3 linked regions of the Saccharomyces cerevisiae S288C genome follow. Changing the gene in region 1 together with any one later gene gives a genetic interaction. Each region holds a gene or a part of one and is shown in the gene's direction. Other genes may lie near its edges.

Region 1 (8,120 bases):
GATAGCACACATATTTGAGAACAGACCTTTTTTCGACGTGAATATCAAGAATTTTCTTCTATCTCACTTCATAGACCTTTTCAACAAGGTTTTAAAAATGAAATTCGAGCAGGTATCTCCTGATGAATTTGCTGAACTTTGCAAAGTATACAGGGCGTTATGTATTGAGTGCGCAACAGACGACACCTTTAATAGTAATAGTGATTTGATCGCCGCAAAAGATGCGTTTTTGGTATCTGTGTTGAGAATCGCAGATGGGTTTTGGGAGCATGACAAACTTTTGCAGCTAAGGATGCTTGATAGTAATATGAACATACCTAATCAGATTCCTCATACTACTTTGCAAAGTTCGCTATCTGCGATTGTAATAAAGATAATAGAAAGTAATATAGGAAAAATTGAGGCGTCTGAACCTTTCAAAACCTTCAAGAATACGTAAATTATACACATGTAATATAAGCATATTTAAAAATTCTCCGTAATATATGTCATATATGTCAAATTGCGAATTAGTCCAAATAGAAACAAGATCTATCAGTGTTGGTGATAAACATTTTGTATTCTTTTGGTAACGTGTATCTCAAAGAAGTGCATGACTTTTTTTACGTTCTCTTTAGTCTTGATTTAGTTGCTTCTGCGTTTGTTAAATTTTTTGTCCTTCCCGTTTGATTAATAATACTTATAATAATACAATTCTGTAACAAGAAAAGCAAAGTTACTACATTCTCATTGTGGTTTCTAAGTCATCTAATCTTCTCCTGCCCCTTCTAGATAATCTATCAGTTTCTCTTTTCAATCTTCTTAAGTTTCTTTCTTTTTCAATTTCTCTCTTTTGTATTTCTTCTTTTGTTAATATTTCCACCCTTGGGCACCAATTGGAGCCCAGTTCATCAATATCCAGCCTTATACCAGATAAGTACCCAAATGCGGCATCGTTTGGGACATGGTCCTGAATCAAGTGGCCATCTACCCAGTCCTTCTTTATCTTCAAGATAGTTTCATGAAGCGATTGAGATATTAAGGGGATGAACTCTCTTGTTAAGCCAAGGTCCTGTACAATGGATGTAGCAAATCTTTCTGGAGTAAGTGATTTGTCGTTCAAGTTCCACTGGAAGTTATCTTCAAAAAATCTGTCTTGTAAGTTGCAGGTTAGGTTGATTATCACGTGGAGGTCAGACATTATCTCAGTGGCTGCAATATTTTCGAGGTCTTTCAACTGCTCTTTTATTATATTCGCAATTTGAGTTTGTAAGGTAGCGGAAGTCATATCAAGATCTTTACAGTATATAGAGGCAAATTCCTCCGGAGATATGGAGTCGTCATTGTAGTTCCAGAGAAACTGGTCTTTTATGGTATGACCCATATGTTCTATATCCAAAGTAATTGGTATCATGATTGCCTCTCCAGAATTGGCGTTTGCCTTCGTTTCTTGATCAGTGTTGAGTCTATATGGAGACACCACTTTTCCGTTAATGAAAGTATCTCTTATTTTAGGGTATCTCAATATGTTGAAGGGGTTGTGGTGTTGGTCTTGCAGATCCGGTAGAACGGCGTTTCCAATATCCTGTGCCTGCGCTTTGTTGCTCGGACCATTGCTGGCGTTGTTATTGCTATTCAAACCGGATAAAGATTCCACAACCATGTTTGAACCCGCATCGTATTTGTTGTTAGAGATAATACTATCAGCTCCATTCATGTTCTCTAGGACATTGTATTCGGAACCGTCCATGGTAACACCATTTGTAAGTGCCGGAGTATTTTCATGAGACACTGCATTATCTTTATAGTGTGTATCAGCATTGTTGAAATTAGAACCGTTCATATTGAATTCATCAAAGAGATCGTTGTCATATTCCGCATAGTTGACCACTTTAGCCCTTTTATGCTGCCTTGTTTGTTGAGCCATTGTAAAGATGGGGATACCATCATCTTCGTTTGTCAATCTGTTATGAAAGTTAGAAATATAAGCTTGTGGAATAAGCTGGTTTTGGTGCGACATTGTGTGCTGCTATGTGCCTTTCTTCTTTCTTTTTTCAATGTACTTCATTCAATAATCTCTATTTGTCGTATTTTCTAAGTTTTTTTTTTTTGTCAAAGTAGTCGCGGCGACTTTAAATGAGCAGATCATCATTTAGTAGACAAAAAGACACGGGACATCTTCTATCTATATAGTTTACATACTTTATTATGTGAAAGAGTCTTTCGAAATTGCAACAATGCTCGATAAATCTATGGGTCATGTGCTCTATAATTCCTGTACATTAGCATCGGGTGCGTGTAATTTTTGGGGTGATATGGCATTCTCCATCAACTTTTCCTTTTATTTAGCATCTTCTGTAAGTCAGATGCTACTTTTGCACTGCCGTGGGTCTCCTTGTGGCATATAAAGCATTTGGTGCCCTTTTTCATATCTTTGGCAAAACACGATCCACAAAAATAATGGCCACAGTTTGTGACCACTGGAGACTTGTAATCTTCCTTACAAAGAGTGCACTTGAACGGTATCTTTTCCAAGTCTAGAGTAACCGCTTTGGAGTCCTCTTTATCCGCATTCCATTCTTGGTTCAGCTTCCAGCCAGTCTTGAAATCATCCCTCGAGTGTAAGAACTTGCAGCTATCTCCGTAACCACAGTATCCCGTCTGTTTGTAATCTTTGCAAACGTCGGGCTGAAAATCCATCAGCACCGTGGTCCGGATATTCGTTGGTTGGTTAATCTGTTTAGTGAGGCGTTTATTTTTACCGCTCATGTTCAGTACCAGCTCATTGTCATCACTAGGTCGCCTCTTCTTTGCCTTCTCAGCCAGCTCTTTTCTCTCAAAGTTTAGAAGATCTTCTTTAGTGCTGTCGTCGTTGACCGTTAAAGTGTATTTATCTAAATCCTCACCCTTTTTCTGTAGTTTACCTTCATTCTCATGTGAAAGTTGAAGTGTCCTGCTATTTCCACTCTTGGCTAAGCTCATGAGGTCACTGGAACCCTTTTCTTCATCGCTGGCCACTAGTTTCTCTTCGCTAAAATTAATTTTCTGCCTCTTTTTCTGGTTCTTTTCATCAGAAGAGCTTTTGTTCACTAATCTCTTTCTGAACATGAATACCTGGAGCTTTGATTAAGTGATGGAGCTTTCGATGGCTTTAGCTTGAGTCCACTTCAGATAGAGATGCGCATGGCTTTTTCTTATTATTCTCCGGTTGCACGGAAAGAAGCGGGAAGAGGACTAAAGGGTTTTTGGATCAGCTTCACAAAATATATACTTGGATACGTTCGCTACTGAGGTAAAGTGGGCATGCAAGGTTGCAATTTAGGATTCGAGCTGTCTAGTTGATCCTCCGGAGTGTAAAAACTGATTTTCAATGAGTGGTAACACAACTAACGTGCATGAGACTAGAGCCAAGTTTGCAGAGACGCTGCAACCGAGGATTGGTGGCAATACTACAAAAGTGATACGAGCTGCTTTGGAAAAGAACGAAGCTGAAAGCGGGGTGTCTGAGGATAATGATAACGGGTCATTGGAGAAAGTTAACGTAGCTACTTCGCCGCTTTTGACATCAACACCGCCCACAATCTCAAAGGCGTTGGTGAAATTGTACCCTTATTTAATTCTCATTGACGAATTCCTAAACGTTGTTACATGGACAGGAAAGAATATTTGGAGCAGTGTTTTGATGCTGTGTCTCTTTATTACTACCGTTGAGTATTTTGAAACGCTGGTGAAGTACTTTGGACATCTTGCCATCATTGCTATTTTGTGGGGTTATTCCCTATTGGACAATTATATTGAGGGTACGTTGAGCTCCTCACCAACATTAGAAGATATTGCTCTCTTAATGAACAGAGTATCCTTGAAGTCAGATATTTTGCTCTCCCCCATGGTTAACCTTGGAACGCAAGATATTCAACGGCTTCTATATACTACGGTCATATTATCTCCAATATACGTGATGATAACCTGGCTACTTTTACCACCGAGAAGCTTGATGCTGATGGTGGGCATGTTCCTTTTAACGTATCACTCACCATGGTCTAAAGTAGCAAGAAGGCTTTTATGGAAGTTTAAGATTGTCAGGCTGCTTGTTTTCTACGTCACGGGTTTAGACCTTGGTGGAATAAATAAGGACCAGGGTATTTTTGCTACAGTGCAGAAGCAAGTGAAAAAGTTGGCATCAACAGAAAACAGTAATGGCGTATTATCCGATTCCAAGCCTATCCGTTTTACTTATGTTTTGTACGAGAACCAGCGTCGTTGGTTAGGTATTGGATGGAAGCCTAGTATGTTGAGTTATGAGAGGACTCCATGGACCGATGAATTTTTGAATGAGGCTCCCTCTCCTGAAAACTTCCATCTACCTGAAGAGACTAACACTATGGTTTGGAGATGGGTCGACAAGACATGGAGGCTAGACATGACTAATGACGGTGCCATTCAAGTGCCCAATTCAAAGGCAAGAACTTCCGCAGATCCCTCCCCTGACGAGGGATTTATATATTACGACAATACCTGGAAAAAACCAAGTAAAGAAGATTCCTTTTCTAAATATACAAGAAGAAGAAGATGGGTAAGAACCGCAGAATTGGTCAAAACTTCTGACTTTGATGAAAGCGTGATAAATTCGAATAGAAATTCTGCCATTGAACAAAAGGTTGAAGAAAACAGCACGAATGGTTTAACCGCTGAGCAAGAGCTTGGGAGCAACAAGCAAGAGAAAGATAATGCGAAAAAAGTAGGAGAGCCTACAACAGAAGAGACAAAAGAATTTGCCGAAGCATCAAACATCAACGAAGGCGAGTTTGAAAGAATTTCCTCGACCGATGAAGAAGTTTTAAAATCTAGGGCAAGAGATCGACTGGCAAAAGTATTAGATGATACTGAAGAGAAAGAGCAATCAAATCCAACCATTGGTCGCGATAGCAAGAAGGCCGTATGATGCTCGCTCCCGTTTTTACCTTTACATAATATAATCTCTAATTTACTTTATTACACAAATGGTAACTCCCTTTAAATAAACTTAAAAAAGAACGTATAGAACTCTCTTCTTCAATGAATAGTAATCCAATTTTTTTTATTAACTATACAACGTTATGACTTTAAAAATTAAAAAATATGTTTATGAGTAGTAAGAAAAACAAAAGGAAACAAAAACAAAAAAAGTTATAAAGCCTATTTCTACTTCCTGTATAACGAACACAAATGGATATTATTCTTTATGCGGATGGGAAAGTATTCTTAGTTTTTTTTGTTCCAGTCTCGTTATGATAACACTCCGATCATTCCTTATTTTTCTTATAATCTGTTAACCTTCAAAGTTGGTGGCAAAGATTGGATCAATTTCTTAGCCTTACCAGCATCGTTGATAACCAAAGTGTACAAAGAAGAAGAGCCTCTAACCTTGAACTTGGTTTGTCTGAATGGCTTACCGGCCTTGTTCAATTTTTTGTTAATCTTAACAGTGGCGGTCTTAACGTCAGCTCTTCTGGTCAATTCCAAAAATTGTTTGATGTCGGTGATTTCTCTAGCCATTTTTCCTTGATATTTTGTCGTACTATATTCAACCTGAAATAAAAAACTAACAGTTGAAATATTTCTACATTGAAATTAGAAAATTTAATTCTTTAGATTGAAGATTCAATATTGTGCAAAAGCGTACAGCAGCAATCACGACTCTACATGCCATAGAGCTTGGAAAACTCTCCATAATTTTCCACTCGAACGTATGATGCTCCGTCTATTTTTTTCAACAGTTGCACGGACGAGTCCTCCTTTTCGCAAGGCATTTTAATTGTGTGGGTTTATGAAAATGCACGGATGCATTTTCTCTAGATGAAAATTCCGTCTTGGAATAATATCGGAATGAGCTAAAAGAACACCAGTACGCGAATATGTGAGATGCCCTGTTTTGTCACATAACAGCGGCAGTTAATTTGGCGTCTTTTCTGGGAAGCGAGTTTATTTGGCAAGGCTATGATGTTTTATAATACTAATCACGCATTGCAACTTCACAAAGTAGTTGTGACATGTGGATGTAATAGCGTTACTTTTCTTTTTGTTTATTGCTATTTGTTTCTATTTTCTTTTTTTAAATCGCGCTAATACGTGGAAAAATGCGTAGAAGCCGGGAATGGGACGTGATTATGAGATCATAACATGACTGCGAGCTAGAGAGCATTGGAAGAATTTGCTTTTTTGTTCAGTTCCCTACTCATATATTTGTTTCATAGAAGTCGTAGTATACGTGAGACAAGAGCACTTGAAAATAAATCTTGGATCTGCTGGGAGCAATATCATCAAGTAAAATAAGGGGGAAACCATATCAAATGTCAGGGTTCATTAAGAGCACGTTGCTTGGTCTAGGCCAAGATTACTTAGAAGATCAATATCAAGAGTTCGCAGAACAGCATTTCCAGCCAACCAGGGATCCGTTTTATGAAACGAATAAAGATGGTAAAAAGCACCGCCGCAGACTGCCATATTATTGCACTAAGGATGAAAGTAAAGCGTGGAAAAAGGTCCAAAACAAAGCCTGGCTGCATGACAAATCACTGTGCGGATGCTGTTGCTGGACAAACACTATAGGATGGGCACCATTACTTGCACTTCTACCGGTTATAGGACCCTTATTGATGTATTGGGTGCATGATAAGTTGATTGAATTGGCAGATGACAGGTATAAATTGCCTGCGGAAATCAAGGTGAAGATGCATGGTAATATCGTTATCGATTTACTTATTAGTTTAGTTCCTATTCTGGGAAGTGTTTTTGCATGGTTGCACGCATGTTCCACGAGAAACGCAGCTATAGTTTACAATTTTGTTGGAAAAAGGGCATTGGAAAGAAAGCAAGCGGAGCTCATGCATCAAAAAGAAGAAAATGAGAAACATTCCAATGCCAATACTGCACCTCCAGTAGTTGGTGGCAACAAAAATGTGAATGGAAACAGAAATAATAGTAAAATGTATAACAGACCGCCTGTGACAGCTCCACCTGCACCAGCATACACGCGCAGTACTAACGGTCGCCCCCAAAGAGGTTACAGGTGAACAAACCGGCCACGGTAAGGCTACATTCTTATCAACAAATATGGGCAATCAAAAACTTATAATGTAAATTTTATTTTTTATCGTAAACATGTATTTAAGAAGTAATATAAAGGATGTTTGACATGATCATTTTATATATGCATACACGTTATTGAAGTTATATGGTCGTTAAATCATTAAAAGGCCCGTTTCTTTGAAATATGCTAACGGAATCAAACCGGTCGGGTCGGTTAGATGTGGTATTGTTGCAAATCAGAAAGCCTTCTTTCATTGTTTTGGGAGTTAGAGCCCCTTCTGGTCTTGTTGAAGACTGTCTTAATTTCGCCAGAATCGATTAAGTCATTAATCTCATCGCCAGGCTTGCCCCAATTGCCTTTCCCATAGCCTCCTCTCTTGACGTGGTTGGGAGACTCCCCAAAGTTGCCGTTATGGGTGAAATACTTTGGGTTAGACTTTGCTTCGTGGACTGTCCATTTGCTAGTTCTGGTCATGTTTGAATTGTGTTTGTGTTAGAAATTTGTGTGCTTTAATGTTATGTTATAATGAAATCTTATTAGATTTATTTAACGTTTTTGCTGTGCTTATAATAAACATTACATAATAAAAGGAGTAGAAGAAAGTGGTAGAGAGGAGTACAAATCTACCTGCCAGAACTCTCTCCTTATATATATTTCCAGTGGTGTCTGGATTACCTACCTCAAGCCATACCATATCCATACCATATCCATAAACGCCTACAAAATTTCTACCCCAATCCAGCAGCTTCTATCACTATCTCGTATACCACCATAGGCACCACCACTGTTTGTGTAAATTTACTCCTGAGGGGGGGGTGGCTCAACACGGTGTAGGCCTTCTTCCCGCACAATCCGATGAAACCCCACAATCGCCTCCGTCTCTTCCACTGTGCACGGCGCTAGCTCAACATCTTCCCCGCCACATTTACTGTGGCAAAGAAGGTGCATAATCTAAAAAAACATACGTATGAGAATGGAAAGGGCAAGATAATATCGGACCGTAGTGAGTCACTTGCTTTTGGTATTGCAACCAACTGCCGCCCCTCTTCCCGCTCTTGCACCAAAACGCTAA
Region 2 (5,071 bases), 150 kb from region 1:
ATGGCTCCAGTTCCAATGGAAAATCAGTTCATAACAACAATTACAAGATGCCTCAGCAAGCTTATATAGACGATCCTGCGAGAAGGCTCTATGTAATGGATCATGAGGAACAAAAACCCTTTAAGTGTCCAGTTATTGGTTGTGAAAAGACTTATAAAAACCAAAACGGTTTGAAGTACCATAGGTTGCACGGACATCAGAATCAAAAATTACATGAAAACCCTGACGGTACATTTAGCGTAATAGATCCAGATTCGACAGATTCTTTTGGTGATGGAATGGGCTCTGCAAAGGATAAACCATACCGTTGTGAAGTTTGTGGTAAGAGATATAAGAACTTGAACGGTTTAAAATATCACAGGGGCCACTCCACTCACTAAGATATAATTGTTTCTTTACTGAATTGATTTAGTATGCTATTTAGATACTAATTCTACCGTTACCGACTCATGCATCGAGCGGCCGCTCTTTCTCTTGTTGTTGGGCGCAATTTATGTGATCATCTTTGAACGAAAATGCATGATAAAGCTGTGCTCTTCGACTGTTACCATTAATTTCAAAAAATAAAAAGCATATCTATTATTGAAAAATGAACTTATAATAGAATAACATTTTCTTGTTTTGTCATCATTTCCTCTAAATACTCCGTCATGAAAACGATTTGCGCTCTGTCTGGTCTCTCCTTTTAGTATTATTGTTGTGTGTTTTTTACTATTCATTTTTTACTACTGTGTTTTTACTATATATATTTTGGCTTTACTTACTTCCTTCTGTTCTGATGTATTAAAAACTATTTTTATTCTAAGAAAAGAAACTTTAATTCTTCTTATTCATGCTCTAAATCTTAAATAAAAGGTTCCGTTTTTTATCTGCAATTCTGTGTATTTGTAAGTGAATTACCATGCACGTTGTCGGATCGTTTTTCTAGGCAGAAACTATCTTATTGAACCATTAAAAGATTACTTAAATATTACAATTAATCTTACGAAGCATATTAATTAGACTGGAATTACAGCGCAACTATCACAGGTTAATAATTGGTTGAGAAAATATTATAGTTTTGTTAGTAATGTTGAACTTTTATTTTATACACTTATGAAAGTAAATTAATTCAATATCAATAATAATATACTATAAGTAACTTAAAAAGCAACCTTCCTCCCAAACCTACAATCCAATCACGCTGATAAGTATTATCTAGAAAGTTGACAACACCAAGCCATATGGTCAAGAAACATTTATTGAGAGTTATTTTGTAAATAAGACTTTTCGTCATCCATATAAAGCAACCTAATTGTTCATCTAATACTAGAGTCGCTCTTTTGAAAGTTAAGTATAACTACCTCATCATTAGTTGCTACTATGTGTATAATTTGAAAATCTCAACGTAAGGTTATTAAAAATATAAATGCGCGTAAGACAGAAAAATAGAGACAGCTTACGGCAAATTATCAAAATGTGAATCCAAGGTTTCAAGAAAATAAGATAAAGTGAATAGGAAGGATGAAAATCAATGTATCCCGTCCATTACAGTTTTTACAATGGAGTTCATATATTGTTGTTGCATTTCTGATACAATTGCTAATCATTCTTCCTTTATCGATCTTAATATATCACGATTTTTACCTAAGACTATTACCTGCCGATTCCTCTAACGTAGTCCCCCTTAATACGTTCAACATTTTAAATGGCGTACAATTTGGTACAAAATTCTTCCAATCTATTAAAAGCATTCCGGTAGGTACAGATCTGCCGCAAACAATAGACAATGGCTTATCACAGTTAATCCCCATGCGTGACAACATGGAATACAAGCTCGATCTAAACCTACAGCTTTATTGCCAGAGCAAAACTGACCATTTAAATTTAGACAATTTGTTAATTGATGTTTACAGAGGTCCAGGCCCGCTATTGGGTGCTCCTGGAGGAAGTAACAGCAAAGATGAAAAAATCTTTCACACTTCTAGACCTATTGTCTGCCTCGCACTGACGGATTCCATGTCGCCTCAGGAGATCGAACAACTAGGCCCATCACGTCTAGACGTTTACGATGAAGAATGGCTAAATACAATAAGAATAGAGGACAAAATATCGTTAGAGTCTTCATATGAAACAATCTCGGTGTTCTTGAAAACGGAGATTGCCCAAAGAAATCTAATAATACATCCAGAAAGTGGGATTAAGTTTAGGATGAATTTTGAGCAGGGATTAAGAAACTTGATGCTTCGAAAAAGATTTTTATCTTATATTATTGGCATTTCAATTTTCCATTGCATAATATGTGTACTTTTTTTTATCACAGGTTGCACTGCATTCATTTTTGTTAGAAAGGGTCAGGAAAAATCCAAGAAACATAGCTGATAGAATTGTACTTCTCGCTATATAATTTTAAAACCTAGCTGTTATTTTCTAAGTAAGTAGGCTCTTCCAGCATTCTGCTTCTTCGCCCTGAATAAAAAAAAGATGATCAGCGAAAAAACTCAAAATGAAAATAAGAGATGGATTCTTCAAAGTTATAATTCATATGCAGAATAAAGATTCTAAAGAAAATGCACACAATGCATATTCCATCCGGTGATGTTCTGATACCGAAGCCGAAGCTTATTACTGAAGAAACAGATCCACTGCATATAATAAAGACGAGGCAAAAGACACATGGTCGGCCCGTGACCATTGCAGGCCCAATGGTTCGGTATTCCAAGTTACCATTCCGTCAGTTGTGCCGAGAATATAACGTTGATATAGTTTACTCCCCCATGATTTTGGCAAGAGAATATGTCCGTAATGAGCATGCAAGAATCTCAGACCTTTCTACAAATAATGAGGACACCCCGCTAATCGTCCAAGTAGGTGTAAATAACGTGGCTGATTTACTAAAATTTGTGGAAATGGTTGCCCCATACTGTGATGGTATTGGTATTAACTGTGGTTGTCCTATAAAGGAACAAATCCGAGAGGGCATAGGTTGCGCTCTGATATACAATTCAGATTTGTTATGCAGTATGGTCCATGCTGTGAAAGATAAGTATGGCGACAAACTAAGAATTGAAACGAAAATAAGAATACATGAGGCATTGGACGAGACGGTGGAGTTATGTAGAAAGCTATGTGATGCTGGGGTAGATTGGATTACGATTCATGGCCGAACACGTAGAACTAGGTCATCGCAGCCGGCTAACCTGGATGCGATAAAATATATCATCGAGAACATCAGCGACAAAAATGTGCCTGTAATAGCGAATGGGGATTGTTTTAAGTTATCCGATTTGGAAAGAATCACCAAATACACTGGTGCACATGGTGTCATGGCTGTGCGTGGGTTGTTAAGCAATCCAGCGTTATTTGCTGGATATACTACCTGCCCTTGGGGCTGCATTGAGAAGTTTTGTTATTGGGCTCTAGAGTTTGGTGGCTTGCCTTTTCAATTGGCTCAGCACCATCTGTACTGTATGCTTGAAAATATGGAGTTGAAGAAATCTCTGTTAAAGAAAATGATGAATCTTAAAAATTACATTAGTCTGATCGACTGGTTTAATAAAACCTTTGAGTTCAAGCGTTACGGCGAGGATGGATTTGGCATGGGCGTTGAAATTCCTTATAAAGCTAATAGCTGTGTGCAGAGGAGCGCCTCAGTGGTTGAGAGACAAGAATGAATAAATTTTGAATTACAAAAATCTAATAAACTGTGGTACTGAAATTGTATATATTTTCCTATCATTCAAGAGCGTATACTCGTACCCCGAAAGCAGCTCTGTTTGTGTAATAATATAACCTAAAAGAAATAAAATGCTTATAAGATGGACATTATTTTTTTTTTTTTACAATTTAAGCATCTTCTTCAACGACAACGGTTTGTAGACCCTTAGCAGAGGCAACCAAAACTGGTTCGACGTAGGAAAACAATGGGTTCTTGGCATCTTCTTCTTCGTTTCTCTTTCTGGAGATTCTCAATCTCAATCTGTATTCAACACCCTTAACACCTCTTTTCCAGATAGCTTGGTTCAATTCTGGGGCTAGACGGACATCTTCAGTACCCATGTGTAATTTGGCGAATTTCTTGATTTCCTTCACAGCTCTTGGAGCTCTCTTTTTGAAACTGACACCATGTAGCTATATTAATATCAATTCAAGATTGGTCTGTTAGTAAAAAAAAAGTTGTTATAAGAAGGTGGAACTAAAGCATCACGCCAAAAACATCGGCCCAAGCGCCATTATAGTGTAAACGTGAGGTACGGATATCGATCGCAGAACACAGAGAAATGCAGTACCGAAGAAGAACCTTCCAGTCCTTGCATCACGCATTCCATATAATAACCTCTAATATTCCGAATTAAAACCTGGGGTCAATCATTGGAAAATGAAATTTCACCCGTATAGATTTCGCTTGGTATTTCACCACAATATCGCTTGTTGGCTTTCAATAATTTCCCACGTAAAGACAACGCTAATTTCGACATACTCTTTTGTGCAAGTTGATGGTGTATTCACGAGTGACAACGTCTTTTAAACCGGCCATTTTCAAGTACTTTGGATTATCTGCTCGTGCAATTGAAATATACTAAGACCCAAGACTATGTAAAACTAAGGAACCTATCAACAATGAGACTGGTCAAATAATAGAGTAAACATGTACATGAAGCACTACCATCAGAAAGAGCTTACAAGGTTACGAAACAACGTCAGTGCCCTCTGTCGCATTACCCTCGGTTTCGCGCCCTTCCAGTTGGCATTTGAAGTGCCAATCCAATTGTGAGCACATCCAACTAGCGTGCCCTTGCAATCCCAGAGGACACCATACAACTTCCAGCCTAGTAGTGAACTTACCAGGCGAGGAGCGCGGGCGCCAGAGGGCAGCTCATCTGCGTTCCGGCTCTAACGAGAAGGGCGGAAATGGCACCATCACCTGAAAAAGAACGTAATCTAGGCTGAGCCGCGCCTTTAAGTTTTTGTCGCATCTGGCTGCGCTTCATTTAAACGGCACTCCTAAAAAATTGTATGAGGTGATTTTTTTTGTGTACAGATGTACGGATGTACGGATGTACGGATGTATACTATGTAATAATGCACGGAT
Region 3 (5,118 bases), on another chromosome or scaffold:
TGTGGCGGCTCGTGTAAGAGACTCATTAATTCTTGTACGACCATTATAAGGTTCATCGCGGCAGGATCCCAGCAGTGGAGTATGGGCAGCGCAATCCACCCATTGGAGTCGATGTATTCTTGAATGGGCAAGGAACTACTGATGGTGTTCATGTCGAAATTTTCCAAGTTTATACTTATAAAGGGAGGTTTTACCGGGTACATACTGGGTACCCACATGATCACAGGAATACTGTGAGGAGATGAACCATCCTCACCAGTACTAATGGTACCATATATGGACAACAGTAGTTGTGGAGTGCCGTCAGAGTGCGTAAATACCCTTGTTCTTGGCCTTAAACTGTGAAAATTGTCCAGCAGCGCTAAAGAATCGTGGAAAGTTGTTCTTCCGTCGTTATAAATGGGTTGAATGACTTTGAACAGCCAATTGACCACCGCCTCGGGAACAGAGATCTTGCCGTTTGCAGACATCGTTGCTCTTCACTCTCTCTCTTTTCTTGGCCGTTAAGATACCAACTGCCCACAAAATTTTGCCGTAACTTTTTATTCTCGCTCTGTGAAAAAAGACTACTACATTTTTTGACCTTTTATCTATACTTTAAGAAACAAAGGTCCAACGAATAATAAAGAACAAAGAGTAATGAGTAGTTTGTATGTGTCATAATCTCTTCTCTCCGCTTCCCTTTTCTTCCTTCTTCTTCTACTAACTCTCTGCGCGTCCAATTTAGCTATACTGTTGTTGGTGTATTCATAGTGGTTAGTGCCATGTCCGTGCTGTTCTGGATAATGGCTCCAAAGAACAACCAAGCGTATGTGCAACATTTTTTTTACGATGTGTCTCCATATTACTAGTTTCCCTTTCTTTTTTACTAACAAGAGTTTGTTTGTTTTGTTTTGTCGTACAGTGTTTGGAGAAGTACAGTGATTTTGACATTGGCCATGATGTTTTTGATGTGGGCCATTACGTTCCTTTGCCAGCTCCATCCCTTGGTGGCTCCACGCCGTTCAGATTTGAGACCTGAATTTGCAGAATAAAGCGTCGAGTATATCAAGCCAAGTGACGTTTCCTGAGTATAAGAAAAATAAGCAAAATAAGTATACATAAAAATAAATACGAATAGAAATATAGTGGCATCTAAACAACCCAGAGATTTTTTGAAAAACACAATGAGTATATACTGATAGACAACCACACGGTCTTTGAAACGAGACGCCGTCTACGGTTGTATCAAAATGTGTAAACGGGCCATTTCAAAGCTTGATCTTCTCCATAATTAGAACCCATGTCCCGTGGAAGCGTTTTAAAAGACATGAGGCAGAAACAGGAGTGTGATATCCTTGCATGCGCAAGTTGGTAATACACTGCACAAAACACGCGTGTGCACATACACTTATGTGGTTCACCGTGCCGCTGCTGTGTTTATCTGTTGCTCGACATGTGCTGCTAATGATTATGTTGGAATAGACAAACAATTTAAAGTAATTTCTTCTTTTTTTATAGTGAGAAATCTCAAAAGAAAAAAAAAAAAATAAAAAAAACTAAAGAGCTGCCGGGTGAGCAACGACTAAAAGAAGAAACCATTTAGGGCTTCATCAGCAACTGTAGGAGGAGAAAGCAGGTATATAACTAGCCGCAATATGTTTGTGGTGGATTGGAGCGTGCAGCTATGCATGGGAGTGATTTCACCTCTCTTCCGTGCCCTCGTGCAACTGCCTTTATCAATTTTCGTATGGAATGGGTTTCAGCTTGTGGCATTGCCTATCAACATCCCATTGAGGTTGTTCCTGGGGACGTCGCTGAGCCGTTTAGTTGCACAAACAAGCACATTAGACTTCTATGTGGTTTTGACGTTGTTTCAATATTTTGCTGTGCTTTGTGCTTTTGGCAGCATCATAGGACTCATCTTTGGATTTATATTGGGTGTGTTCCACTCAATCTGCGGGGTACCCAGTGTATACATAAGTCTAGAATGGAAACGGTGGTTTGCTCCGATACGTACGGTCCTTGAACGTGCTTCCACTAGTATTGTCAACATTATGCGAGGACAAACTATTGCGCCAATACCCATGCCTAAGCCCAATCCCACGCATATATCAAAGCCTAACATGAAAAAATTCCATGATGAGCCTGGAGCTGATGATATGACTATAACGCATGATGTGAACTGCTACATCACCCCTTGCCAAACGCCTACTAACGAAAAAATTCAGCATTATAATAATGATTCATTCAACACGACCACCACAGACGATGAACCCACTGATATTTGGGATAGGTCTGACACTTACCAAAACTCATTCGTCACCAATGAAACTTTGATGTCTCTTTCTAATAGAGCTAAGCTTCGAAGAAATGCCAGTGATGCGGACATCGTTAATATAAAGATTTTACGAAGGAATTCTAGGTGATATTGCAATTACTTCTTCTCATGCACTAACAAGTGAATGATAGAAATATGTTGAGTTCCTAACTGCCTGATTTTAAATAAGTTTCATATTATAATCTTTTAGCATATATATATATATATTGATCCTCTCTCTTCTTTATTTTCTGCCAGTAACCCATGTGTGAAGAAGAAAACATAAATAAAAAAGCAGTAGCACATGGACACATTCACGCCCGAACACTCCTAAAAAGCAGCCCACACAAGAAAGTAGATATAATGTAGGACACCCAGCTTGTCCATAATTGCTAATAGCATACTCAGGATAACATATATTAATGACGACTCGTTTGCTCCAACTCACTCGTCCTCATTACAGATTATTATCCCTACCTCTCCAGAAACCCTTCAATATAAAAAGGCAGATGTCCGCTGCGAACCCTTCTCCATTTGGCAATTATTTGAACACGATCACTAAGTCCCTACAACAGAATTTACAAACATGCTTTCATTTCCAAGCAAAAGAAATCGATATAATCGAATCTCCATCTCAGTTTTACGATCTCTTGAAGACAAAAATACTTAATTCACAAAATAGAATATTCATTGCGTCTCTGTATTTAGGCAAAAGCGAGACTGAGTTGGTGGACTGCATATCCCAGGCATTGACCAAGAACCCCAAGTTGAAAGTTTCTTTTCTACTTGATGGCCTTCGAGGAACAAGAGAATTGCCTTCCGCCTGTTCCGCCACTTTATTATCGTCTTTAGTAGCCAAATATGGGTCAGAGAGAGTGGATTGCCGATTGTACAAGACGCCTGCTTATCATGGTTGGAAAAAAGTCTTGGTTCCCAAGAGATTTAATGAAGGTTTAGGCTTACAACATATGAAAATATATGGGTTTGATAACGAGGTCATTCTTTCGGGAGCCAACCTTTCGAACGACTATTTCACCAACAGACAAGATAGATACTATCTCTTTAAATCTCGAAACTTCTCCAACTATTATTTTAAATTACATCAACTCATAAGTTCCTTCAGTTATCAGATTATAAAGCCAATGGTGGATGGTAGCATCAACATCATTTGGCCAGATTCGAATCCTACTGTTGAACCGACGAAAAATAAAAGGCTGTTTTTAAGGGAAGCATCTCAATTACTAGATGGCTTTTTAAAGAGTTCTAAACAAAGCCTCCCGATTACTGCCGTGGGTCAATTCTCCACATTAGTTTACCCAATTTCTCAATTCACTCCACTTTTTCCCAAATATAATGACAAATCGACCGAAAAAAGAACAATATTGTCATTGCTTTCCACTATAACAAGCAATGCCATTTCTTGGACGTTCACTGCAGGATACTTCAATATTTTGCCAGACATCAAAGCAAAACTGCTGGCAACGCCGGTTGCTGAGGCAAATGTAATAACAGCTTCCCCCTTTGCAAACGGCTTTTACCAATCAAAGGGCGTCTCATCAAATTTACCTGGTGCTTACTTGTACCTGTCAAAAAAATTTCTACAAGATGTATGTAGGTACAGACAAGATCATGCTATTACATTAAGAGAATGGCAAAGAGGCGTAGTAAATAAGCCGAATGGTTGGTCATATCACGCAAAAGGTATTTGGCTTTCCGCTCGTGATAAAAATGATGCTAACAATTGGAAACCCTTTATCACGGTTATAGGATCTTCAAACTATACGAGAAGGGCGTATTCATTAGATTTGGAATCGAATGCTCTCATTATTACAAGAGATGAAGAGCTAAGAAAAAAAATGAAAGCAGAGTTAGATAATTTATTACAATATACAAAACCTGTAACTCTAGAAGACTTTCAATCAGACCCAGAAAGACATGTTGGCACTGGTGTAAAGATAGCTACCTCCATTTTGGGTAAAAAACTTTAGATTCTATTCTATCATAGTATGTCGCCTGTAAATATGGAAAAATAAAAGAAAAAATAGTAATAATAAATGCATTATCTAAAACTCCTTAAATTTGCAAACATCGCAAAGCCATTAAGGTAGAGAATGAGCTGACCTTGTTATAGTTTTCCTTTTGGCAACCGTGGTTTCCGTCCTACGTAAACATACTGAACTTGACAAAGTATGACCAATAAGGTGACAAATTGTATCAATTTTACCCAAAAGGGCGTTGAATTAAATGGTATCTCGTAAAACAATGCATTGGTCGGTATTACCAGTCTACCTAATAAATCGATAGATTCAGCCAAAAATGATATCAATGCAAACTTTGATGATAAACCTACTGTTGAGCATCCCATCCAGTTTATACTCATTTGAGGCACATACTTGAAACATTTAAGCAGATTTGCCATTACCCACAAATAATTTATGTGTTCCAAATAGAAAACGCCAAATTTACCTGAATTTTTCAACGGTAAATTAGAGATGGAACAGCCATATGTAAATATGCCTAATACAAGGAACACACTTATAATTATTATGGAAGTAATGGAAATGCCCTGATAAATATGTTTAGTTGACCTATAATAGTATAACTGCCTTAAAACCATCATGCAGCAACAGGAAACGCAAAAATCTTTTAGAATGAGGAAACTGGATATAGGTATACTACGGGCATCATTCAACGGATAAAAAAGTGGGAATCTTTGAGACAGTTGTTCCCTCACCAGAGATGAATAACAATAATGCAACGCGCAATACAAGTACAGACCATTACCAACAAAATCTAGCAGAAATAAATCATATGAAAGC

What was found. Genes that interact genetically often act in the same process or in processes that back each other up.
Region 2: mutations in PEX30 (region 1) and SEI1 impair growth when combined (synthetic growth defect), as found in Saccharomyces cerevisiae (3 studies listed by BioGRID, with this or other methods).
Region 3: mutations in PEX30 (region 1) and LDB16 together harm fitness more than expected from each alone (negative genetic interaction), as found in Saccharomyces cerevisiae (3 studies listed by BioGRID, with this or other methods).

The regions. Positions count from the first base shown.
Region 1 is NC_001144.5:775,866-783,985, forward strand, and holds PEX30 (peroxisome biogenesis protein), read left to right. Parts: upstream 1-3,349; coding exon 3,350-4,921; downstream 4,922-8,120. Other genes in the region: MMS22 (Mms22p), read left to right, coding at 1-439; SFH1 (Sfh1p), read right to left, coding at 719-1,999; U2-type spliceosomal complex subunit CWC24, read right to left, coding at 2,308-3,087; 60S ribosomal protein eL38 RPL38, read right to left, coding at 5,278-5,514; YLR326W (uncharacterized protein), read left to right, coding at 6,309-7,031; TMA10 (Tma10p), read right to left, coding at 7,262-7,522.
Region 2 is NC_001144.5:927,240-932,310, forward strand, and holds SEI1 (seipin), read left to right. Parts: upstream 1-1,503; coding exon 1,504-2,361; downstream 2,362-5,071. Other genes in the region: zinc-coordinating transcription factor SFP1, read left to right, coding at 1-380; DUS4 (tRNA dihydrouridine synthase), read left to right, coding at 2,550-3,653; 60S ribosomal protein eL31 RPL31B, read right to left, coding at 3,826-4,110, 4,460-4,516; YLR406C-A (uncharacterized protein), read right to left, coding at 4,967-5,071. UniProt on the Saccharomyces cerevisiae protein: Involved in lipid metabolism and lipid droplet (LD) morphology, number, and size. Facilitates initiation of LD formation, and ensures that vectorial budding of LDs from the ER is directed towards the cytoplasm.
Region 3 is NC_001135.5:106,384-111,501, forward strand, and holds LDB16 (Ldb16p), read left to right. Parts: upstream 1-1,637; coding exon 1,638-2,408; downstream 2,409-5,118. Other genes in the region: ubiquitin-binding ESCRT-I subunit protein STP22, read right to left, coding at 1-470; VMA9 (H(+)-transporting V0 sector ATPase subunit e), read left to right, coding at 640-650, 728-808, 905-1,034; PGS1 (CDP-diacylglycerol--glycerol-3-phosphate 3-phosphatidyltransferase), read left to right, coding at 2,722-4,287; YCL002C (uncharacterized protein), read right to left, coding at 4,425-5,118.